2 linked regions of the Xenopus tropicalis genome follow. The protein of the gene in region 1 interacts with the protein of each later gene in a biochemical or structural test. Links are inferred from orthologs where the notes say so. Each region holds a gene or a part of one and is shown on either strand. Other genes may lie near its edges. The genes, in order: cflar and dedd2.

What was found.
Region 2: the proteins of cflar (region 1) and dedd2 form a complex in vitro, tested with the Homo sapiens proteins (2 studies listed by BioGRID). The link is inferred for Xenopus tropicalis from reciprocal best matches to the Homo sapiens genes CFLAR and DEDD2.

The regions. Positions count from the first base shown.
Region 1 is NC_030685.2:54,008,927-54,013,397, reverse strand, and holds the start of cflar (CASP8 and FADD-like apoptosis regulator), read left to right. Parts: upstream 1-1,462; 5' UTR 1,463-1,492; coding exon 1,493-1,621; intron 1,622-1,731; exon of another isoform or gene 1,732-2,040; intron 2,041-2,094; exon of another isoform or gene 2,095-2,343; coding exon of another isoform or gene 2,344-2,385; intron 2,386-4,471. UniProt on the Homo sapiens protein: Apoptosis regulator protein which may function as a crucial link between cell survival and cell death pathways in mammalian cells. Acts as an inhibitor of TNFRSF6 mediated apoptosis.
Region 2 is NC_030683.2:107,295,193-107,299,670, reverse strand, and holds the start of dedd2 (DNA-binding death effector domain-containing protein 2), read left to right. Parts: upstream 1-1,603; 5' UTR 1,604-1,771; intron 1,772-4,478. UniProt on the Homo sapiens protein: May play a critical role in death receptor-induced apoptosis and may target CASP8 and CASP10 to the nucleus. May regulate degradation of intermediate filaments during apoptosis.

The sequences.
Region 1 (4,471 bases):
TGCTGTTGATATACTACTTCCTGGGAATCGGAGTGCCTGCCCATATTTTTCTCTATGCGAGTCTTTTCTTTAAAAGATGCAAGCAGGGTAGGATTAAGCCTGTGAGGTCAATGCCCAGGTTTAGGTTTCCCAAAAAAATTCAAACATACAGGGAGTTGCCAGGCCAGCCTATGAAAAATTTGACTGCCACATGGGGTTTACCTAGCTTGTTAATTTTATGATCATAACTTTGTAACTAAAAAAATCTCGCATTGTACTTTTAAATTTGATTTAGCCTTGGAGTGTACCCTGCCATTTTTTGCATCAGGCAAGCAGGCCAAGATTGCAAAGGTAACAGGTAAAGTTGCAGGGAGCATATATAAATGAAAGACTATAAAAAAAAAAAAAGTAGAAACATTAGAAGAGCTATTTACGTATACATATACTTATCAGTGTATAGCCAGAGAAAAGCATCCCAGGTGTTCCCTTGACAATCAACCTGTCTATCCCTGCCCATCCTTCAGGCAATAATAAATGATATATGGGGACTGTTTTACATTAAAAAGTATTGTTGTTTTAAGTTTGGGGGAAAGCTATAAAACAATTTTATTTAAAGGGCCTTAAAAGAACTGTGCTGCAGAGTAAGTCCTGCTTATCCCACTGCATGTAATGGTGGCTTCTACTAAAACAATAGCATTTTTTGCATGTTACAGTGCCTATTGCAGTGTTCATTTTTATTTTAGATTGTGCCTATTGTAAAAGCTAACATACTATAAAGGGAAATCAGCATGGAACAGCTTTAAGTTAACAAATCTCCATTTATCATGGGCATGGCAGAAAATCTATTGGAGTTTAATGCTTTTTCTTTCTTATTGTACGTGCCAATGTCTAATCCATGTAATTCTGAAACACCTGGATGATCCTAGAAGGGGGAATTAATATTTTGTAAAGACATGGTTGCATTTTTAAACCCATCTGGCAAGATATGAAATGCAGCCAAAAGGCGCAGACAGCAAGGCTGACAGTAAGCAACGGCTTAGGTGGCACCCAAAGAGACCAGGATAAGCCATTACCCTTCCAGTAGAACTACTATTATTGGGGTAAAAACAAATATATCCGAGATGTTCAGTTAAGAAGATATTACAATCTGTATCTTAGGTAAATGAGAAGGCACAGGTTGAACAGCCGAGCAACAGGGAGGAATGCCTCGGCGCAGCGGCCTACCTATCTTTGTATGGAACACAGGCCGGGCGCAGCACGCAAGGCGCACGAACACGCCACCTTCGACATAGGCTAATTGGCAAATGCTTACCGAATATAGATCAGGCAGGAAACGGGCCGAACACTGGGGGCGGAGGATAACGGGAACCACACAGACACCACGTCCAAAATATTCCCCCCTTGTGAGCAGTTCGACGACCGGGAGAAAAAGAGAAAGGCCGGAACGCGTCACGGTACGTCACAGAGGGCGGGGAAAGGGGCGGTTCTATTGAAATTAGTTGTGTTCCTGCGCATGCGCCCTGTTGCGCCTGGAATTTCCGTGCCGGATACAAAGTATAAGAAATTTGCATTACTAATGACAGAGTTTAAAGCAGATTCCGTAAGAGCTTCAGATACTTCGAGTAACACAGTGGTCTCTACGGTAGGTATCCGCCTTCCCACCTCCCTCTTGGGCCATGTCATGGACTTTGCCTTTCTGGTATATAATAGCATTCTGCTTTTATTTCGCATGACGCAAACAAAGCAGCGCTTGTATCGTTATATGTGATAGTGGCGGGCTCTGCTTGTACATTCTGAGGTGTTTATAACGTTCAGCTTTATTCTCTTAACCTGTCTACATTATACAGGAGTAGGTTGCTATCTGTGTGACGTGTGCCTTGTTGCGATGCTTCCTTATTGCTGAAGACGGAAGCTTGATGTTGCCTTCTGCTCAAAGTTCTGTGGCAACGATAACCTGACTTTACATGAGCTGTGGCATGATATAGTCCCGGGCATGAACTCAGGCGCCTTTGTTTGTGTCAAAGCCTTTCCACTTTACGTTGGCAGCAACATGTCGCACTGGTTAGTAACGCAGTCTTGCAGCTCTGGGTTTTTAGTTTCACTTGCATAGCATAACGCACACACTAAAAAACTCACTGCCTTCTGCCACTCCTTATTTAAACCACATCCATTGTTTCTTGTATAACTCACTACAAGGGGAGTTTTTCTGGCAGGGTCTGTAGGATCGAGATGTTTACCAAGGACCAAGGTCTTGAAATGGGGACTAATGGGAAGCTTGTGATTGTTACCATAGATTGGAAGCTCCACTGGGACCAAGATTTATGGAAATGATCTATAATCAATCTTTGCAAAGCGCTGTGGAAAATGTGGGCACTATTCTTAATTATTCCTGTTCATTTCATGGAGGTAGGCAGAAGAAAGATTGGCAAAGCTCAGTTTACCTATAAATATAATTTTTTCCGACTTTTTTTGCATGAATAAATAGAAAGATTACTGGCTTGTAGGGACGGTTCATATAACTGATTTATGTATGTATGTATGATATGTGGGTGAAACTGCACACACAGAATGTATTCTTTATCACTATGAATGGTAGGGCATGGCCATACAAAGTGTATGTATTTAACTGATTTCAGAAGAAATGTTGAGTTTCGACATGCCTTACATTCTTATCCCTTTCAACAGTCCACTAAGAACGCCATGTTAAACAATGTACCATTAACCACCCTCTGTATACAGTAATTTTCTATCCATTTACAAACCGCATTACCAAGACTAATAGACCTTAGTATGGTACTTGTATTGCCAGACAGTTTTTGAACATTCATTTTACCTTGGAAAATTATGTGTGTTTTGATATAATTTTTTATTTTTTTTTCTTGGAGGCCACGTCTCCTGAACATGCTAATATCAAAAACTCTTAGCAGTAAACTTTCCAAATCACCACTCAAGAAATCTGCTTTCTTAAGTTTTCATGGCCCAAAATTCTAATAATTGTAGGTTTAACCCAAGCAACCATAAATTTCTGGAAAAAACATGTGCATCTGCTCCAAACTCCCAGGCTGATTCTTACAAGTTTTAAAATGGGGTTCACAGACACCTGCAGGCAAAAAACGATATCTTTGTTAGACTACAATTTTATTGATACTTTTTTATTTTGTGTAATAATTATTTTATTATATAGCCTTTCGCTTTAGGCCCTTTGCTATTCATATTCCATTCCTGCATTCAAACCACTGCCTGCCATGGTAAGTTTGACCAAACCAGATACCTGCTACAATGTCAAACTAGAGCTTATGACCAATGACAAATGGGTTCAGAATATCATTGTTTACAGTGATCCACAAAGTAAGTCTGGCAAAAAAAAATTTGGCTAGAGACCACATATAAAAGCTGCAACAACAAACCACTGTGCTTTGTTGCAGAAGCTAAATTGGCAGCAAAGAAAATTCTTTGCATTTTGGGGCCCACTATTGCCACATTTGGCTAATCTAAGCATATTGGATTTCTGGCTTGTGGGCATGCTCAGTCGTTCTAAGCTCAGATTACGAAACACGCCCTCTAGTCTAGCAGCCAGTGAAGAGATGGCATTGCTGGTTCTTATAGAAACTCGGCTCTAGCTGTCTGCTTCGATTTTTTTTCTCCTAACTTTCTCTCCTGAGCTCAGCTCTAACAAAGCAGAACTTTTATCAGACAGTTCTGCCTGTGTGAGCCTGTATTCTTGATGAAATGTATGCTGAATAAGGGTCTGTGTGTGTATGCTGTTTGCAGATTTAAATGTATCAGAGGAAAAATGGCCACCGGGTGATAGCTGCTATTTGCTTTAGAAAAATGTGATGGTGCTGGCAAACGGAGGGGATATATGCAGTACAAATGATGCCATTTGTGTGGGGGAGACATTCCTAACTGATATATATCGTAGGCAAATGTAGGCTTTAAATGTCCTTTAATGGATAGAGCTAAAAAAGGCACCAGTGACGTTACAACAGAGGAAGCAGATGTTGCAGGGTCCAGGGGACAGAGGCCTAGACCACAGGGTCTGCTTTCTCAATAGTTGTTAGAAATCCCTCCTCCCAAGCTGCTCTCTTACCTACACTGCCACGAGTGAGCAGGTGACATGGGCAGGTGGAGGGAGGGCCCAGGTAGGGGCTGCTGTTTTTGCCAGGTCCCTATAAAAAAAATTTCAGGGGGGCTGGTGTGCTGTTGGTACATAACTGGGAGGCATTTATTGTATTACTGTTCTGCCGTCTTTGACTGCATTGTGAAAACCACAAGTCTCATACAGTAGATAGGACTGGAAGCTTATGTAGGGTAATGATTTGCAATTTCCCCATGTACAGTGTTGATTAGGTTTTGTTTTTTTATAACTAGCCTAGTTGAGGGGGCAATCACTATTGGAATTTTTTTTAAATTCCTGAATACCCTCAGTATTCTAGTAATAAACATGTAAATTTATAGATGTGTCACGTTTTAAAACTTTTCTGGGAAATCC
Region 2 (4,478 bases), on another chromosome or scaffold:
AAAAAAATCTGTTTGCATTTTTAAAAAATGAATTTCAATATAGGATTCTGCTGGAGAAGCTCTACTAATGGATGCATTTGAAAAAAACATGTTTTCTCGTATGTCTATGAAGATTTTAATTCATCCAGGTCATGGTATATCTAGTATAAATAAATTTAAAGCAACTGGACTCGTAACAGTATTCATTTAGCTTAAACAAAGTTTTGGCAATAGTTACCTTACACTGATGGATAAACTCTCAAACCCTTTAGCTCTCCTTACTACAAGTACAAATGCCTAGTTCCAACACTGTGGCAATCAATGCAGAGGCTAAAATAAAGGAATACAAACATCTGAAAAGATGTTTTTCTGAAAACTTGTGGGTACCCAGGCCTTTATCAAAACAAAATCAAAGTCAAAAAGACCAGACCAAACAGAAGGGAGGAACATAGCAGTCACAGCATTCCTTATGTTGCTGGAACATCAGAAAAATAATTGAGCAACACCCTGAGACAGAAGTTGGTGACCCTAAAGATCCCACACGTAAACACATGAAGAGTAATGTGGTCTATGCTCCCAGTGTAGTGAGGAGTGCTCAAATCTATACCTTGGGGAAACAAAACAACCTCTCTGTAAGAGAATGGCACAACATAGGAGGGCAGATTTCTCAGAAGACAGATGGTGTGAAAAAAGCCGTTTATGCCAGAGTGGAAAACCATCCCTGTGAGTTTCAGCTAACACCTAACTGAATAAGTTCATTGGAACCATTCTAATTGGGTGTCTGTGACTGTACAGTATTACCCTCAAGGGTTTCAATGCTGGGGAATTCCCTAACACTCTCTTGAATTGAAGAAGCAACTTGGATGAGTGGTGAAACATTTTCAAGAAGCCTCAGAAACCCCAGTTGCTTTAGACTTAATTCATTTATCATCACCTGGATGAATGAGAATCTTCATAAATGTACCTAGTTCTTTGTTTTTGGCTGTATGCTTTGGACTAGCCATGGCCATAATGACATAAGACTTATGCCCACAATGTTCCTTAAAACGGCCAAAAATGGTGATTCCGAGATACCCTTGATAACAATGGCACACACCCTGAGATTAAGGAGCAAGCCCATCATAACAATGATTCTCAGTGGAGGACGTCATGGCATATTTCATTATATAAAGGGCAAAGCAAACATTATGCAACATGGGTTCAAAGTTACAAATCTAGTCACCATAGCAACCCATGGGCAGGCAGCAATTAAACAACAAACGTCTGATTGTTATCTATTAGTTGTTCTCCTAGTGTAAACTTTCAGCCTTTTATATGACATTTCTCTGAGTCATCTAAATACTAAACAAATACAAGCTAAGTCGATAGTTTAGTTTCATCTCCACGCTTGTTATTAGAACTCCATAGCAACCGTTAGTCACATTTGCGCAGTTTCACGGCGATGCAGCCATGTCACGCAATCTATAATGCGTATCTGTTCTCTATGAATAGCTCTTATGTAAAGCCCGTCGGCTGGCTCTGTGTGATTGGCTGGGCAGCCTTTAGGTAGTCACATGTATGCGGCAGGTTGAGGTGTGTGACAGCGCAGCACTCCCATCAGCCTCACAATTCTAGCGCATGCGTAGAACATGTTTTGGCTGAAAGGGGCGTAGGTTTTGTTGCTGTTTTGCGGGCAAGCGCAGTGGCAGGTTTTGGTGGAAGGTACCAGAATCGTTGACGAGTTCGTTTCGGTGAGTTGTTGGGCGACACGGCTGCACTTCGATATTGGCAGTTAAGGAGTTGTTTTCCCTTGGTGAGTATGAGAAGAAAATGAAGGTTTGTTGAAGCAGGAAGGGGTTGCTAAGTCTGTCAGCAAAAACAGCTGTTCCCAAGCTAATGGCGAGATATGCCTGTCAGTAGCTACAAAATGGCTGCCGAGAGTTGTTTGGTTCCTCCCTAGCTATTTTGGGGCAACTACTTTTCTGCAGGAGGAATCTATACCCTCCAGCTGTTGGTTGTCCTACCCATGGCTGCTTGCCCTCCGGCTGAACTACCCAGCAGCCTCTGCTAGCACACAAACTTATATTCTATTAGCAGTGTTTGGTGGGAGAACGTTTTGGTGGTGGAACTCTGGAAACTGGGTTTTAACGATATATTCGTTTTCTGTGGTTTTAAAGTTGTAGTAAAGGACTTAGTCTATGTAGATCCGTGACTGTCCGTATTCTTTGCACTATTGGCCCCTGAAACACTGGAGCAGAAGGCAGCTGATCGAGCTGAACTGAAACAATGTTAAACCATTGGAGATGTTTAGCTGTAAATGTAGTAGTCAAATGTTGTTTAGCAGTGACATTAATGGGGCTGCAAATTGTCAATCTATATTGATTCAATAATAATGCATTAATAATGTCCCCCTCTCACATTGGGGTACCATCCCTTCAGGTGTGTAGGAATAGACATTTGTATAGGTTAGGGAGTTTCAGGTGCTGTAAATTATTAAGCAAAAGTATGAGAGCAGGTTTGTTGACAGGTTCAGCCATAAACTGGCATTGAAGGAAAGAGATTGTTGCTGGCTCTAGGGTAAGAATATATTTTTGTCCACCAAGCCCCCAAAATTGAGTAGATCTCTGCAAAATCATATCCTATATTCATGTTTGGATATGAATAGCCTTCAGTCTACATCAGTGATCCCCAACCAGTGGTTCTTGAGCAATATGTTGCTCCCCAACCCCTTGGATGTTGCTCCCAGGGGCCTCAAACTAGGTGCTTATTTTTGAATTTCTGGTTAGGAGGCAAGTTTTAGTTGTATACAAAGCCAGTGTAAAGCTAAACCGAGTCTTATATAGGCTGCCAGTCCACATAGGGGCTACCAAATAGCCAATTATAGCTTTTATTTGCACCCCCAGGAACCTTTTTCATGCTTGTGTTGCTCCCTAACTCTTTTTCCATTTGAATGTGGCTCACGGGTATAAAAGGTTGGGGATCCCTGGTCTACATACAGCTACTTAATACATAGTAGTTAAACTTCATGTTGTGTATAGCTAAAATTATTGCCCTTACTATATCTTATATTCCCTATTATAATCAACTAGCCGTGACTTTAGATAGAATAATTATTTTTTAGATTTCACAATTTCCCTATGGCTTGCTTTGGCCTCAGTCTGTTCATTTTACCTTAACTTCCTGGAGTGCTGAATAAGGGCTGTTATTGGTTAGTTGGTAGCCCTTATATGTACTGACAGCCTACAGGAGGTTGTGGTTATCAGTACATGTGATTTTTTATGCAACCAAGTCAGGAATTCAAATTTGCTGCTCCCACAGGGAGCAACATCCAAGGGGTTGGTGACCAACATGTTGCTCGTGAGCCACTGGCTGGGCATCACTGTTTTAATGGAAGTCTTCCTCTGCAGTAACAAACTCTTGGCCTATACACTTGTTTTTACCCCTTTTTGTTTTTGTCTGTCTCCTTATCTATAACATTTTAAACTCTTTGGAGCAGGGACTTCATCCCAACTGTGTACTGAAACACTTAATCATAGAATTACTATACCCCACTTTGTTTGTCTTGTAAAGCACTGTGTACGTATGTGGTGCTGTAAAAATAGATGCAGTGGGTGGTGGCTGCTGAACTGTAGAATTCACTCTGTCCCCAGGGGGCTTCAACGAGAGAAAAGAATATTCTACCCAGATCTCTTACACAGTTTTTTAATAATTAAAATTTCACATGGGGCTAGCCATATTCTTCATTTCCCAGGGTGCCACAACCATGTGGTCTGTGCTCTGATTAACTTTCACACTTTACTGCTGAGCTGCAAGTTGGAGTGATATCACCCCCCCCCCCCCCAGCAACGATCAGCAGAACAATGGGAAGGGAGCAAGATAGCAGCTCCCAGTAGATATCAGAATAGCACTCAATAGTAAGAAATCCAAGTCCGGCTTGGGACTCCTTTAGTTACATGGGAGTGGGAGAAACAATAGGTTACATGAAAGCAGTTCTAATGTGTAGCGCTGGCTCCTTCTGAAAGCTTAGACTACGGCACAATGCACTGAGATGGCGCCTACACACCCATATTACAAAATATATATATATATATTCATTCAAGAATACAATTTTAAATGGTAGAGTGAATTATTTGCTATGTAAACAGTGTAATTTAGAAATAAAAAGTATACCATAAAAATCATGACAGTATCTCTTTAAGACAGGCTCGTTTAGCCAAGATCCTGAGGTCCCTAGGGGGAGGCAGCATTAGACCTTTTAGAAACTGTCTGATACAGTAGCATGTTCAGATGTTTATGACCTTGTTAAGAGGTAAGAAGAGCCTGGAATGAATAATGCACGCAAGCTGTTTATTGGCCTGTGCATAAACATAGGCAAAGTATTAGCCCCTACACACCAAACACCCTTTCCATGTGCCTGCACTTGGAGCCACTACGTCAGCCCAAGTTTAGGCATACAGAGTGAACATTTGGGCACATGGAAAGGCCATTCAGAGTGTAGGGACAGAGGTTTATCTGCAGGC